Linked DNA regions of Tamandua tetradactyla. The protein of the gene in region 1 interacts with the protein of each later gene in a biochemical or structural test. Links are inferred from orthologs where the notes say so. Each region holds a gene or a part of one and is shown in the gene's direction. Other genes may lie near its edges.

What was found.
Region 2: of the proteins of CGAS (region 1) and RNF185, one has a biochemical effect on the other in vitro, tested with the Homo sapiens proteins (2 studies listed by BioGRID). The link is inferred for Tamandua tetradactyla from reciprocal best matches to the Homo sapiens genes CGAS and RNF185.

Annotation. Positions count from the first base shown.
Region 1 is NC_135331.1:129,402,203-129,409,590, reverse strand, and holds the start of CGAS (cyclic GMP-AMP synthase), read left to right. Parts: upstream 1-4,265; 5' UTR 4,266-4,427; coding exon 4,428-5,132; intron 5,133-7,388. UniProt on the Homo sapiens protein: Nucleotidyltransferase that catalyzes the formation of cyclic GMP-AMP (2',3'-cGAMP) from ATP and GTP and plays a key role in innate immunity.
Region 2 is NC_135331.1:31,604,616-31,612,715, reverse strand, and holds the start of RNF185 (E3 ubiquitin-protein ligase RNF185), read left to right. Parts: upstream 1-5,075; 5' UTR 5,076-5,227; intron 5,228-5,233; exon of another isoform or gene 5,234-5,359; intron 5,360-8,100. UniProt on the Homo sapiens protein: E3 ubiquitin-protein ligase that regulates selective mitochondrial autophagy by mediating 'Lys-63'-linked polyubiquitination of BNIP1.

The DNA of each region.
Region 1 (7,388 bases):
GTAGGAGAAGTGGGTTGGGCTGTACTTGGGGTGTGGGTGTGGGGCAGGTACATGCACTGGGGGCTGGTGGGGTCAGGGTCCCTAGAGCACAGGGAATGGGTGCAAGTAAGGTTCAGGTGCATGGGGTGTGGGGTGTGGGGTGAGTAGCCGGTCATGGGGCTATGCCGGTGAGGGCAGTGCGCCCAAGGAATGTGTCCTGGCTTACTTCCTAGTCCCATGTACTTGTCTGTGCACTCCCACAGGCTCCACCACTCCATGCCTCCACACCAGGTTCCACCTTTCTGCCTCTCAGTTCTTTGGGCTCTGCAACCAGGGCTGCCACATGTGGTGCAGAAGGCTCTCCCAGGTCAGCTGCACTCCTGAATTGCTGCCTCAGTTATCCTCCTGTCCGTTCTTTAACTTCTCCATGGAGCAGGGCTAATCTCAAGCTGCTCTAGTTGGCCATCTTCCTGGAAGTTGGGGTTTGATTCTGAATCAGCTTTTATTAAGGGGATTTATTTAGTTAAAAATTTTTAGTTCTTCAGAAGAAAGGCAGCTAACTTTCATCTGATGTTCTCAGTTACATAGGAAAGCACATGGCAATTTCTGTTGGCCTTCTCTCCTGCCTCCTGTGTTCCATCGGCTTTCCCAGGGTGATTCTTTTCTGCATCTCCATATGTCTGGGCTGAACTGTGAGTGTGGAGATGAGTATGCTGAGCTGCTGAGCTCTCTTCTGACCTCTCTCTTTTAAGCCTCTAGTTAATTAAATTAAAGCTTACTTATTCTGGAAGCCACTCCTCCTGGCTGACTGCAAATATAATCAGCCATAGATATACCACTGATTTAAGTCCATAGAAACAGAGCAATAGGGCATCATCCCCTGGCCAAGTTGACACCTGAACCTAACTACCACACTTGCTTTTTCTGAAATGTCTGACTTGTTTCATGTTTAGTAAAATCCTCACATGGGGCACTATTCTCTGGGGTCTTCCTTTCTGGAAGCCCAGAATTTTCCAGACCACCAATTTCTGGTTTCTTTATATTCAAGAGTTCAGTGCTTAGCTTATCCCTTTCCTGTCACATTTCACTATATGCTGCAAGAGAAACCAGGCCACATTTTCCACATTTAGTTTGGATATCTCTTCTGCTAAGTACCCTGGCTCACCACTTTTAAATTCTGCCTCCCATCCAACACCAGTAGTCAATTTTCCCAGATTCTCTTTCACTTTTAAACAGGGGTCACCTTCCTTCCAGTTTGCAGTAACACATCCATTATTTCTGTCTAAGGTCTTATTGGAAGTATCTTTAGAATCCACATTTCCACCAACATTCTCCTCAAAGCATTGTAGGTCTTCTCTGTCAAGCTCCTCACAATTTCTCCAGAGTCTTCAACTTATCCATTTAAAAAGCTGTTCCAACATGTTGATCATTTGTGCACTCCAGCACCCCACTTCTCTGGTACCAAAATCTGTTCTGATTTGTTAAAGTTCATCATTAAAGGCCATAAAAATGTCCTAACTAAGGCATCCGTAAAAAGATACCTTGACTCAAGAAAGGCTGATATCTGTCACATCGGAAGGCACATGGCTAGCATCTGCTGGTCCTTGTTCTAAGTTCTGCTGCTTCCAGCTTCTGATGCTAGGGGTTTCCTCTTTAAGCCTCTATGGGCCTTCACTTAGCTCCTCTGAGACATAACTCTGGGTTCTGGCTTTCTTAGCATCTCATGGGAAGGTACATGATGACATCTGCTGGGCTCTGCATCTCCAAATGTCTGTATCTAGGTGTCTGCTTTCTCTGTTGGCACTCCAAGCATCTCCAAATGTCTGTGTCTCTGAAGTAACTGTGTTTTCTCCAAAATGTCTCCTCTTTTAAAGAATTTCAGTAAACTAATCAAGACCCACCTTGAATGGGCGGAGTCATATCTCCATCTAATAAAAATTGGGTGTGTCACATCTCTGTAGAGTAATCAAAAGGCCACACCCACAACTGAGTGGGTCAATCTCCATGGAAACAATCTAAGTTTTCCAGATACAATACAGAATCAGGATTAAAGGCCATGGCTTTTCTGGGGTACAGAATACTTTCAAACCAGCACAGAACCCACTAGCCAATGCAGAGCCTATTTGCAAAGACTGTAAACGGTGATTTTTACTTTGGTTTGTTTGTTTTAATTAGCTCCTGGCACTCAAGGAATTCTCTGTCATATCACCATCTGGAGACAAACTTAGGAAAAGACAGCTCATGTACTAAATACCAGAGATAACACTTTAAAAATATCAAAGTATACAGTGCACAACAAAAGATTTTAAGACAAAGAAACAAGAAATGTCCAAAGGAACAACATAAACTCTAGAAACTATCAATGAAAAGGACTGGACTTTGGACATAACAGACAAAGACTCAAAAAAAAGATCCTCATATATGCTGAAGGAGATAAAAGAAAACATGGAGAGAGGACTAAAGCATATGAGGAAGACAATGAATAAACAATTGGGAATCTCAATAAAGAGAAAGAAATTTTTAAAAAGGAACCTAACCGACAAAGTATAAAGCAAATTGGGTAGGTAGATGGAAATACTAGTTATCAATGAGAGGGATGGGTGAGGTGTATGACATGTATGAGTTTTTTCTTTTTTCTTTTTATTTCTTTTTCTGGAGTGATGCAAATGTTCTAAAAAATGATCATGATGATGAATACACAACTTTGTGATGATACTGTGAGCCATTGATTGTATGTCACATATGGAAAGTATGTGTGTGAAGATTTCTCAATAAAAATACTAAGAAAAAAAAAGGGAACCCAACAGAAGTACTGGAGTTGATGAATAACTGAAATGAAAAATTCCTAGGAGGATTTCAACAGCATAGAAGAACTGGCAGAAGAAAGAATCAGTAACCTGGAAGACAACACAATTGAAAAGATTAAGGAAAAGGGCCAAAAAGAAAAAAGAATATTAAAAAGTGAAAAATGGCCTAAGAGACATTTGGGACAACATCAAGCATACTAAATATATGCATAATGGAAGTCCCAGAAGGAGAAGAAAAAGAGAAAGGGGCAGAAGGAGTATTCAAATAAATAATGACAGAAAATTTCTGAAACTTGGTAAAATATATGAATATGCACACGCAAGTAGCACAGAGAACACCAAACGGGATAAATTTGAAGAAAAATGTACTCCATCACATATCATTCAAACTGTTAAATGCAAAGATCAAGTACAGAGGTTAGTTCTGAAAGCTGCAGGAAACAAGCAGTGAGTTATGTACAAGGGAGTCCCAATCAGATTGAACGCCAATTTCTCATGAGAAACCATGGGAGCAAGAAGGAAGCAGATTGCAATATTTTAAATGTTGAAGGAAAACGATAGCCAACAAAGAATTTTACATTCCGCAATCCTTTCATTCAAAAATGAGGGAGAGATTAAGTCATTCCTAGATAAAGAAAAGCTAAGGGAGTTCATGACCACTAGACCTTCCTTACAAACAGTGCTAAAGGCTGTTCTTCAGACTGAGAGGAAAGCACCCTAGACAGTGGTGCAAAGCAGCATAAAGAGATAAAGATTTGCGGTAAAGGTAATCATATGAGTAATTATAAATGGTGGTACAATTATATTGTATTTTTGGGGTATGCAACTCCACTTTTTACTTCTTACACCTTATTACAGGTTCTAAAATGTAAATGCATAAAAGTAATGATAAATCTATGGCTTTAGATATAAAATTTATAGAGATATAATTTGTAAAATGCAAAAACAAAATGGTGAGGGGACAGGAGTATATTTAGTAAAAGTACATGTGTATGCTAAAATGTAACTGCTGTTTTTTTTGCATACATTAGAGAACAGTTTAGACAAGTGGAGAAAAACTACACAATTGTTAAGACTTCTGTGTGCTTTCATAAGTCAAATAAAATGAAATATTCATTCTACACATCACCAATCCTCACCTCATTCCACCCTGTAAAAATTAAACATTTTCTACTTCCCTTAATTAAAAAGCAAACCAAAAAAAACCTCAAAACCCTCAGTCAAACATACCCAAATTTTTATCTGTGCAAGAAGGTACGTAGTTTTTCAAAATTCTTTTAGGCAGTATACCTGCAAATGGGTTTGGCGACCAAAGTCCTCGCGAAACCATCTACATAGTTTCCTGGGTCCCTCCCCTTAAGTATGTTTGGTTCCAAAGTCAGTGGCACGGCTGGCCCAGCTGGGTGACAAAACTAGCGTCTCTAGGAGCGCCTGGGCGACGGCCCCTTCGCGGCGGGGCGGGGCTCTCTGACACCTCCAGCGTGACTTCCCTTTCAGTCTTGCTCCCAAGTTGCCGGCAGAGCTTGGTCTGTCTTCCCGCCAGAGTTTTAAGTTTCATTTCCCACCGCGTCAGCTAGTTCCTCTTCCGCGTGGGCTTTTCCACTTGCGGAGTCTTCTCTCCCGGAGCCAGGAGAGTCCGCCATGGACATCGGCCGCGAAAAGGTGAAGCGGTTCGCCTCAAAGGCCGGAGCTTCCGCGCCCAAAGTCTCCGCGTCCAAAGACTCCGCGCCCAAAGGCTCCGCGGCCAAAGGCTCCGCGCGGAATGCGAGAAGCGCTCTGGAAGACCCCAACGAGTCTGCGTTCACCCCGGGGGTCGCTCAGCCCAGCGCCGGGAGATGCGGCTCCTCGGGATCCCTGCGGAAGAAGAGCGCCCCGGACCTCCAGGAAAGGCCAAAGGTTCGCGCGCGGGGGTCACGCACCAAGAAGGCACCTCTAGGAGCTGAGGATGCGCAGTCCTTGGGCGCTACCGGCGAGGCCTCGGTGGAGGAACAGGTGACTCTTGCGGACCTAGCTGTCCCGGGGACGCCCTTTCCCGGGGCTGGATCTGGCCGCCAAGAGCGCGCGTCCTCCGCTCTGGGGCGGAAACCCGAGCCAAGGCCCAAGGAGGTACCCATCCCCGGCCCGCTGGTCCCGGCGCCTCGCTTGGGCCGGAAGGAGGCGGTGCAAGCGGGCTGGAGGCCCCGCGCGGTGCTGGAGAAGTTGAAGCTGAGCCGCCAGGAAATCTCGGCGGCTGCTGAAATCGTGAACAGGATTTTGGACCATCTGGTGAAGAGACTGCAGAGCTGCGAGTCCGAATTCAAAGGCGTCGCGCTTCTGCGCACCGGAAGCTACTACGAGCGCGTGAAGGTGAGCTGTCCAGCGCCAGCCCTCCGGTTCCGCGACGTGCGGCCCCAACTTTCTCACCCTGCTCTCTCTCCCCAGCCTCTCCGATATTTACCCCCATCCACTCCTGGGCTCCCACTCCTTCACTTCCCTCAGGCTCTTGTTCTTCCGTGGCCTGTGACACAATTCTAGTTACAAGGACAAACATTTCCTTTGTTCATCCGACTATCCCACGATCATCCAACCAACCAATATGTAGTGCCAGCTACTCACGAGACACTGCTTTTGGATGAATTCCAATGTATAGATTCATTCATGCAGGCGCACTTGTATTGAGTTTTTATGTAACAGTGCTATGTACTTGGTGGTAAGTGAGGATCCAGGTCAGTTCTGACTTGCATGATTTGGATGGTCTGTGAGGAATTTCACGTAATTATTATATCTGAGAGACTTTTTACTGTGAGAAGGAGATATGTACTCTATAGGGAAAATATTTTCTGTCCCCTCCTGCATTTCTGATACAGATGTCATGGGAAGCTCAGTAAGTGAAGTTAAAGACATCAAAAGAAAAACTCATATTGGTATTAAAAAACATAGTTTGTAAATACACTGATATAGTTGCTTTTAAACTGTTCCAACTGTTTGTAGGTGGTTAAAGTCATTAAAATAGTCATTGCAGTATAAATTGATGTTCAGGAGTACGTTCCTGAAACTGAGTTGGCTGCCTGAGCAGTGGCAGATTTCTTTGATTGTGTTTTCAGCTGTCTGCCAGTTTTTTTGAGTGCTGGGTGGTGCACTTTAGATCTGTGTAAGATTGTAAGTAAAGTATGAACAGAAATAGAGGCTGATAGCATATCTTTATTAACTAGTTGTAATTTATTTTAGAGTTGCATATTCGCTTTATTCAACTAACTGCTCTCCTCTAGAAAAAGAGTGATTATCAAATTCTGGATTTAGGGCTTTAGGGTTATAAACTCTTAAGAGAGCAGGGCAAATATTATGCATCTTTGTATCACTAAGCCCAGTGGTATAGCAAGCACTCAAGAGAATGGACTGAATGAATGAATGGGCTCCAGGAGAAAGGATGGGTGATCTCTCTCAAGACCCATGCCTTCTCAGGGTAGCAAAGTCACATTTAATTCCCATGATAAGAATTTAACCTGGTAGCCTTCAGTGGAGATTAAACCTTTCATATATTTTTGATTTGGCCTCCCACCTAGATTGTACACTACATTATTGTGGAGTGCTTACACCAAAATGTTTGTACCCTCTGCAGCTGCTTATTTCAGTGGTGCTGATTTAGTGACATTTGTTGATTGTAAAAAAGGCAGTGTATGTAGGGAAAAAAGACGGTGTGTGTATTGGTCTTTGGATCTTAAACTCTTTTAGCACTGAAGACCACTCATAGTTCGGTCTAAAAGTTTCTTGAAAGCCACATGAGGAAAATTTCATAAGACTGTCTTGAGCATGATTCTAATTGTGTAAGTTTCAATTCAGTTCAATTATATAGAGGGTCCAAAGGAAAAAGAAAGTTGTTAGGACTAGAGAACAACAGGAGATTTAGAGAACAGCCTCCAATAGGATCCATTCTCCTTTTTTCTCCTTTTTTTGGTGGGGGAGGTAATCCGTGCATGGGCCAGGAATTGAACCTGGGTCTTCCAGGTGCATGGCAGGTGAGCATTCTACCACTGAGCCACCCATGTTCCCTCACTCTCCTTTTTAAAATCACATTGATGGAGCTAAATTTAGTAAATTTATTTAAAACATTTATTGATTATTATTATTATTATTATTTTACTGACTAAGCAAGAGGTAGTATATATGTAGGGTGGGGAGTTGGTGCTTAATGGGTGCAGAGTTTCTGTCTGGGGTTGTGATGGTTTGGAGGCAGCATTGTTCCAAGAAGATCATTTCCTTAATACTAATCCCTTCCTGTGGGTGTAAACCTGTTGTAAGTAGGACCTTTTGATTTGGTTATTTCAATTGAGACATGCTCCACGTGGATCTTAATCCTCTCACTGGAGTCCTTTATAAGAGGATAAACACACAGAGGCTCAGAGAGGAAGACACAGAACCTCAGAGAGAAAAACACAAAAAACAGAGAAAAAGACAGAAGCTGAGAGAAAAATCCACAGATCCTGAAAGAGAAAGACAGAGAAGTTGAAAGAGAAAGCCACAGAAACAGAGGGGAAGCCACTGAAGCCAGAAGCTGTAAGCAAAGAAGCCTGAAAGAGAAGGGAGACCAGCAGATGCTGCCATGTCCCTTACCACTGACAGAGG
Region 2 (8,100 bases), about 98 Mb from region 1:
TGCTGAGCCACCGTGGCCCGCCCTTGACAGGAGCAATTTTTGCAGACAGATTCCAATCTTGAGCCTGATTCTTACCAGCTGTGTGGCCTCGGGCATGTTGATTAGCTTCTCTGTTCCTCATTTGTGAAATGCAGACAATAACAATCACATAAAGTCCTTAGCACAGTGTATGGCACATTATAAACATTCAATAAATACTAGCTTCTTTTATTATTATTATTTTTATTTTTATTTTTATTGGAGTAAGGGGAAGGAGGTGGAGTGGGCAGGGGGAAGGTGAAAGTTTAGGGCTATTAAACTGAGAATCCTTGCGATACTCAGACCAAGGAGAAGGAGAAATAAGACCGCTTTTATTTATTTTATTTTTCTCACTGGAATGAATATCTTTTATTCAGCATAATTTGTTGTAGGCATCACATAATATTAAACTCATGCTACCAGGATAAATTCAAACACCGCCCACAAGGCTTTCAGGATCTATGGAGTATTCGTGTATTAAAGCAGGGAAGCTATTCCTGGATATATTTTTGAAGCTGAAGTACTTCTTCCAAGTCCGTTAGTTCCAATTCCATTATTTCTGGGGAACTTTTAATAGCAAGAATATGAAGAAATAAACAGTGCTGATTCTCTAAGACTAAAGTTTTAGGAACGGACGATTGCTTTCCAGAAGAGACCATGAGAGTGACCGTATTTGTGAGAAAGGACAAGTGGCAGTCTTTCTTTAGCGTGCCTTATGAGCCCAATAGAAAGAACAATGGGGAATATGATCAGCAAGTTTATTTTAATTGAAGACGATTGCTGTCTTTTCACAATGAAAGTCCTCGGTGACTTCTTCAAAGAAAGTAGTAGCTCAAACATGAATTTTTTAAAAAATATCTGGAGCGCTCACTCTGGTCTAAATCTGTTCCAGGTATTCTTACAATAATCTTTTGAGATCAGAAGAAATCTTCCCATTTAATAGATGAGAAAACGGAGGCGTCTGTAAGTCATGTATCTAGCGAGAGATCGATGACCTCTAGCCAAAGACCACCAGAAACGCAACTGTGGTTGAACAAGTTGGCTTTGTTATTCCTTGCAGTGAAGGGGAAATGCAACCCATGGGAAACAACGGGACGTCTCAGTAATAGAATGTTAGAAAGGACTCATAAGTGGTCTTGAAGAGGATTTGTGGAAGTGGGGCATTGCTCTGGATTGGATGCCATGAGTGGGTATCTTTTTTTATTTAATTTATTCATTAATTTAAAAAATTAAGAACAAACAAAAACATTAACATATCATTCCGTTCTACATATATAATCAGTAATTCTCAATATCATCACATAGTTGCATATTCATCATTTCTTAGAACACTTGCATCAATTCAGAAAAAGAAATAAAAAGACAACTGAAAAAGAAATAAAACAATAACAGAAAAAAAAAAGATTATACATACTATACCCCTTACCCCTCACTTTCATTGATCACTAGCATTTCAAACTAAATTTATTTTAACATTTGTTTCCCCATTCCTTATTTTTATTCCATATGTTCTACTTGTCTGTTGACACGGTAGATAAAAGGAGCATCAGACAAGGTTTTCACAATCACACAGTCACATTGTGAAAGCTATATCATTATTCAATCATCCTCAAGAAACATGGCTACTGGAACACAGCTCTACATTCTCAGGCAGTTCCCTCCAGCCTCTCCACTACATCTTGAATAACAAGGTGATATCTACTTAATGTGTAAGAATAACCTCCAGGATAACCTCTCAACTCTGTTTGGAATCTCTCAGCCATTGAAACTTGGTCTCATTTCACTCTTCCCCCTTTTGGTCCAGAAGGTTTTCTCAATTCCTTGATGCTGAGTCTAAGCTCATTTCAGGATTTCTGTCCCACGTTGCCAGGAAGGTCCACACCCCTGGGAGTCATGTCCCACATAGACAGGAGGCGGGTGGTGAGACTGCTCGATGTGCTGGCTGGAGAGAGAGGCCACATCTGAGCAACAAAAGAGGCTCTCTTGGGGGTGAATCTTAGGCCTAAATTTTAAGTAGACTTGACCTGTCCTTTGTGGGGTTAAGTTTCACATGAACAAACCCCAAAACTGGGGGCTCAGCCTACAGCCTTGGCGGTCCACACTGATGAGCAGGTATCTTAATAAATCTTATCTAGAAAGAGGGAAAACTAGGCTGAAGCTAAAGCTGTAATTGGTAGAGACATAACAATTTCCATATGAACCAGGAGAGGGAAATGTTCGATTCTTTTCGTGGTTTGGACAATGCTCGTGTTTTGTCTGAGTTCAGACATGACTGTGGTATTGTCATCTTTCAAGCCTGATCCACAGAGTGGCCTTTTCTGATATTGATGGTCTATGAAATTGTCTGTGTTTAACAGAACAACAACGCAGGCAATCTGTGAGTGCCAGTTCACAGTAACTCAAGGCTTGGGTGCCAGGCAGATTCCTAGTGTCAGGAGCTACTTTTCTCTCTGAGAGGCTGGACTCCAATCCAGATTTTCCTAACTGGAAACATTCCCTGTGCTACCCCTTGTTCATAGGAACCACAGAGAAGGCTGATAATTGAGGAAACTCAGAACACCAGCCTCTGGGAGCTAAGCAGATTCATCTCTCAGTTAATTTCATCTATTAGCTTCACCCCAAGTCAGGCCCAATCTCTTATAGTGTCTGGGATCATTGTATACGCTTAATAAATGTTTACTGAAGGAATAACATGACGAAGATGGTGTTCTAGTTTGCTAGCTGCCAGAATGCAATATACCAGAAACAGAATGGTTTTAAAAAGGAGGAATTTAATAAGTTGCTAGTTTACAGTTCTAAGGCCAAGAAAATGTCCCAGTTAGAACAAGTCTATAGAAATGGCCAATCAAAGGCATCCAGGGAAAGACACCTTGGTTCAAGAAGGCTGATGAGGTTCAGAGTTTCTCTCTCAAGTGGAAGAGCACATGGCGAACCCAGTCAGGGTTCCTCTCACATCTGGAAGGGCACATGGCAAACACGGCGTCATCTGCTAGCTTCTTCTCTTGGCTTCCTGTTTCATGAAGCTCCCCGGAAGGCGTTTTCCTTCTTCATCTCCAAAGCGCTGGCTGATGGACTCTCTGCTTTGTGGTGCTGCAGCGTTCTCTTCCCTCTTTGAAACTCTCATTCTCCAAAATGTTTCCTTTTTTATAGGACTCTAGTAAACCAATCAAGACCCACCCAAATGGGTGGAGACACGGCTCCCCTAATCCAGTTTAACAACCGCTCTTAATTGGGAGACATCTCCAGGAAGATGATCTATCTACAGATTCAGACATACAGTATTGAATAGGGATTATTCTGCCATTTTACGAAATGAGATTTTGATTAAAATATGGCTTTTCTAGGGGTCCATACATTCTTTCAAACTAGCATAGATGGGTATCAAGAATTCAAGAGAACAACCGCCTGGGTTGAAATCCCAGCTCTACCACCTATCGGTATGTGACATGAAAACTTAACTTTTTATAGAATGATAAAATCGTGCAAACTTTTAAACCTTAACCCATTTGTAAAATGGGGTAAGCACCAAATGCACTCATAAGGCTGCTTCCTGTGATGATCAAATGAAACATTCTGTGTACTGTGCTGAAAAAGGCTCACTAAATGTTAGCTATGATTATTTTAAGTAGCCAATTAGTTGAGTGATTACATGTGTAATATATTTCCCACTAGATTTGCAAGCAAAGATCTTGTCTCTTGCTGTATAACCAGTCCCGGGTACAGGAGTTGGCATGTGGAAAGCAATTAATGTTTGATAGATAAATATATGAATGAGCTAGGACCCAGGCAATTCCACACTTCCCATTTCTTGGCAAGTTTTTCTTTTTATTTCTTTTTTCACAGAAAAGTCACAAAATTTATACAAGAAACCCCAAAATATGCTTTAACTAGATTTTCTTTAAAATTGTTTACATTTTGCTTTATTTGCTTAACCATTCTACATATCCATATAAATATACCCACAACACTTTTCTGAATTTTTAAAAGTTGGTGACATTGTACCCCTTACTTCCTAAATATTTCAGTGAATATTTCCAAAGAACCAGGATGTTTTCTTAATATAACACAGTACAATGATAAAAACTCAGAAAATTTAACATTGATACCATACATATTAGTAGTTATTCTGCAACCCTTATTCAAATGTCATCACCTGTGCCAGTATTATCCATTACAACTATTTTTCCCTTCTAACCTAGGATTCAGTTTAGCACTGCACATCACATTTAGTTGTCATGTCTCTTTAGTAACCTTTTGACTGCAAAATTTCCTTAGTTTTTCTCTGTCTTTCATGCCCCTGACATTTTTGAAGAGTATAGGTCAGTTATTTTGTAGAATGCCTCTTGATTTGGGTTTGTCAGAGGCTTCCTCCTGAGGTTGGGACTATGCATTTTCAGCAGAATTATCAGAGAAGAGATGCTGTGTCCTTTTCAGTGTGTCTTATTAGGAGACACATGATATCCACCTGACCCTTTCCTGATTATGTCAACTGTGATTACTTTGATCATTTTTTTCTACTAGGTTTTTGCCTCTATAAAATTACTCATTTTCCCTTTGTCATTAATTGGTAATTTATAGGAGACCCTTTTATTTTGTAAGTATCCTATGTCTCTAGTTTTGCCATCTACTGTTGATTTTCTAATTCTATCATGATTATTAGTTGGCATTCTACTATAAGAAAGAACTTTCCCTTCTTCCCCTTTCATTTACTTACTCACGTCTTTAGGTCAGTAAAGACTCATGGATTACTACTTTACTCACTTGGCTATAACCCAATAATATTATGTCTTTTGATGCCCAGATTATCCTTTTGAGTTAGCTCCTGTGTCCTAGGACACTTCCTCACATTCTTGTGCAACAGATGTTTTAGGCTCATATGAGGCTTTCCTCGTCCCAACCCTACAATCGACTTCTTCATGGAACCCCGATTTCAGGTTACGTGGGAAACATTCAATTGTCCCTGCATTCCTACGCTTCCTGCCGGCAGACGGAACCTTAGATCCGGGGGCCTAGGCAGGAAGTCAGTGCGTCGGACCCACCTTTTCCAGTTGGAGCCGGAAGTCCCTGTAAGGGGGGGCGGGTCCGCGTCAGGTGACCGGAGTTCGCGTGGGAAGGATCGTAGGTCCGTCCGGACCAACTGACTGGACAGACGGCAAATAGGCCACCGGCTGGCGTGTCCTTGGTGGCGTTATCTGCGCGGAGGAAGCAGGTATGTGGGAGCCGGGGCAGTGGCTAGGGACCGTCGAGGTTGGGGATCGAGGGACTATGTTGGGACTTCCGGAGGGCCGCGGGTCCCAGCGACAGCAAGCCCAGCCTTGCCCCGGGCCCTCCGCCTCAGCAGGTAGGTCGTGTTGACGTTGTGGTCTTCTTATGATTACAGATTGAGGAAACTGAGGCCCGAGAAGGAGCGGGGCTCCCGCGGGCTGTCCCATCCAGGCAGAGACTTACCTTACCCTAAGTTTCTTTTTGGCCCCCGCGCGGGGCTGCTTTCCTCAAGTGAAGGGACTTTTAACGAGTTTGTCCCGAGTGGAAAATCCGAGGCCGGGAAGCGTGTTGAACAGAGTTGTTTGGGAGTCAAAGACGTAAATTCTAGAACTCGCCGCTCACAGCTGGTTGTGCAGTTTTGACCAGATCCCTTCCTTGTGCTGGACCTCAGTTCCTCGCTTGTAAAGTGGGACAGTGTTTCTTTTTTTAAAAATTTTTTTTGTTTTTATTTTTTTTTTTACATGGGCAGGCACCGGGAAAACGAACCCGGGTCCTCAGACATGGCAGGCAAGCACTCTTACCTGCTGAGCCACTATGGCCTGCCCGGGACAGTGTTTCTCTTAATATGGTTGTACACCAAATGCTTCGAGATCTGCCAGGATACATGCTTTAAGATATAGATTTCTGGGCCGCATTTCAGGCCTCTGATTTAGAATCTCGATAGAAACTTGGGATTCTGCAGTTTGAACGTACTCTGGGGCATCCTGCAAGTACTGATTTTTGAAACCCATCGATCTTAAGTACTTCTTGCTGTGAAGACTTGATATCCATTTTTCGCTTTGAGGCAGCTGGAATCTGCAGAATCTTGAAAGAATGGGATGTTTAGTTGAGAAAAGACAGTACTGGAAGGGTACTGTGTTCAAATACTGAAGAATTACTATGGCAAAGAGGGCTCCTACGTCATCTTTGAGGATGAAAGAGACAGAACTAGGACCAATAGGTGAATTCTACTGGAAGATGAGATTTTGACTTAATAGAAGGATTTAATGGAGGAACTGTCAGAGGTGACCATCAATGGAATGGATTACCTCAAGAGGAAGAGAATTCTCTCTTGACAGAAGTTTACCAGTATTAGACTGAAGTCCTTTCTAACTTGAAAGTCTCTGATTCTAACTAGTTATTTTGACTCTTTCTGATACTGACTCTGCCCACAGGGTAAATGTGTTGTTTCTTTTTTCTGCCTCCTTTTCTTGAACCCCACCCCCACTCTCCATGCAGATCTCCTGGGAGCAGAGTCTTATGACCTTAAGTAATTTTTTCCTCCTTGTTCTGTGAACCATTCTTCTTTTCAGGGACTTTGGAATGGCCCAACATCTGATCCTGGCTCCTTAAATGTTTACTGAATGAAAGCAGGATGTGTTCCCCATTGTTTAGTAGCTTATTTTCTAAGGACACCTTAGAAATGCCCTTAAGTCTTTGCATTTGATCAGGAAAAGCCAGTGAGCTCTTTGGATCACAGAATTGAGGACTCTTGCTTGGAAGGGCCTCTTGAGGTTGTTCAGGCCAACTTCTCCTTCCTGGGACATAAATCCCTTTTTAATCCTCTCTTTTGCAGTGTGTGGTGTATTGTGCCAAATGAGAGAATTTTTGCATTTTGTTGCTAACTTTTCATCCAGTATAAAAAGTCAGTTTTCTGGATTTGACTTGCTGGTTCATTCTCACTTACATGTAATCTACGTATAATGTTTCTAGTATTTCATTAGTTAATCAAACATCAAAACTCCTTCCAAGTAGATCACTTAAAAGCCTGGTAGAATGTTTAAGTTGCTCTATGGGCAGAGATTCCATGTTATGACCCTATTCTGCTGACCTGCCAAAAAAAAGGTTGGGATTGAGCCAAGACTTCCTGCCTGTGTTTATCTACTTGCTTGTTTATGTTTCCTAGGACTTAAAAAAATTGTGAAATATTTGTTCAGATATTATCTAGGTGCTGGGTACAGTGATTTTAATTTGGTGGTGGGGAGATAAGTATTTTTGAAACGTCTCAGTTTGAAAGTTCCCCTTTGAAGAAGTACCTAAATTGGCTTTTCTTAAGTGTGTTCTTCAGACCAGTGGTCTGAAGAGATGCCTCTGAAAAAAATGGTTCTGTGGTAAAAATAAGTTTGGGAAAAATTTTTTACTATTATCCCTTCTTGGAGGTTCTCAGTGTATAGTACCACGTTAAAAGCGCTGGGAAGTCCTACAATAATTTTGTTTAATGTAGCTTTGTCAAGCTTATTTGATATGAAACTTTTTTTTTATGAGGCACACATTGGTATATTCTGACCTAAAGCGCAGGGGTCTGCAAACTATTGCCTTAAGGACCAAATCTGGCCATATTGTCTATTTATGTATGGCCCATGAGGTAAGAATGGTTTTTACATTTTTAAATGGTTGATAATAAATCAAAAGAAGACAGTTTCATGATTGTGAAAAATTATGGAAAACTCAGATATTAGTATCCATAATAAAGTTTTATTGGAACTCAGTCACACCCATTCATTTACATGTTATCTTTGGCTACTTCAATGCTACAGCTGCAGAGGTGAGTATATGCCTGAGAGAGCATATGGCACACAAAGCCTGAAGTATTTATTATTATATGACCCTTTACAAAAAAAGAAAATTGCTGACATCTGACATGCATTATTATAATTTTTAACTTTTTGTTTTGAAATAATTTTTGACTTAAAAATGTCACAAAAATAATACTCAAAGTTCCTGAATACCCTCCAGCTATCTTCCCCTAATGTTAACATCTTATGTAACCATATTAAAATTATCTAAACAAGTAAATAAACACTGGTGCAGTGCTACCAACTAATCTATAGACCTCAT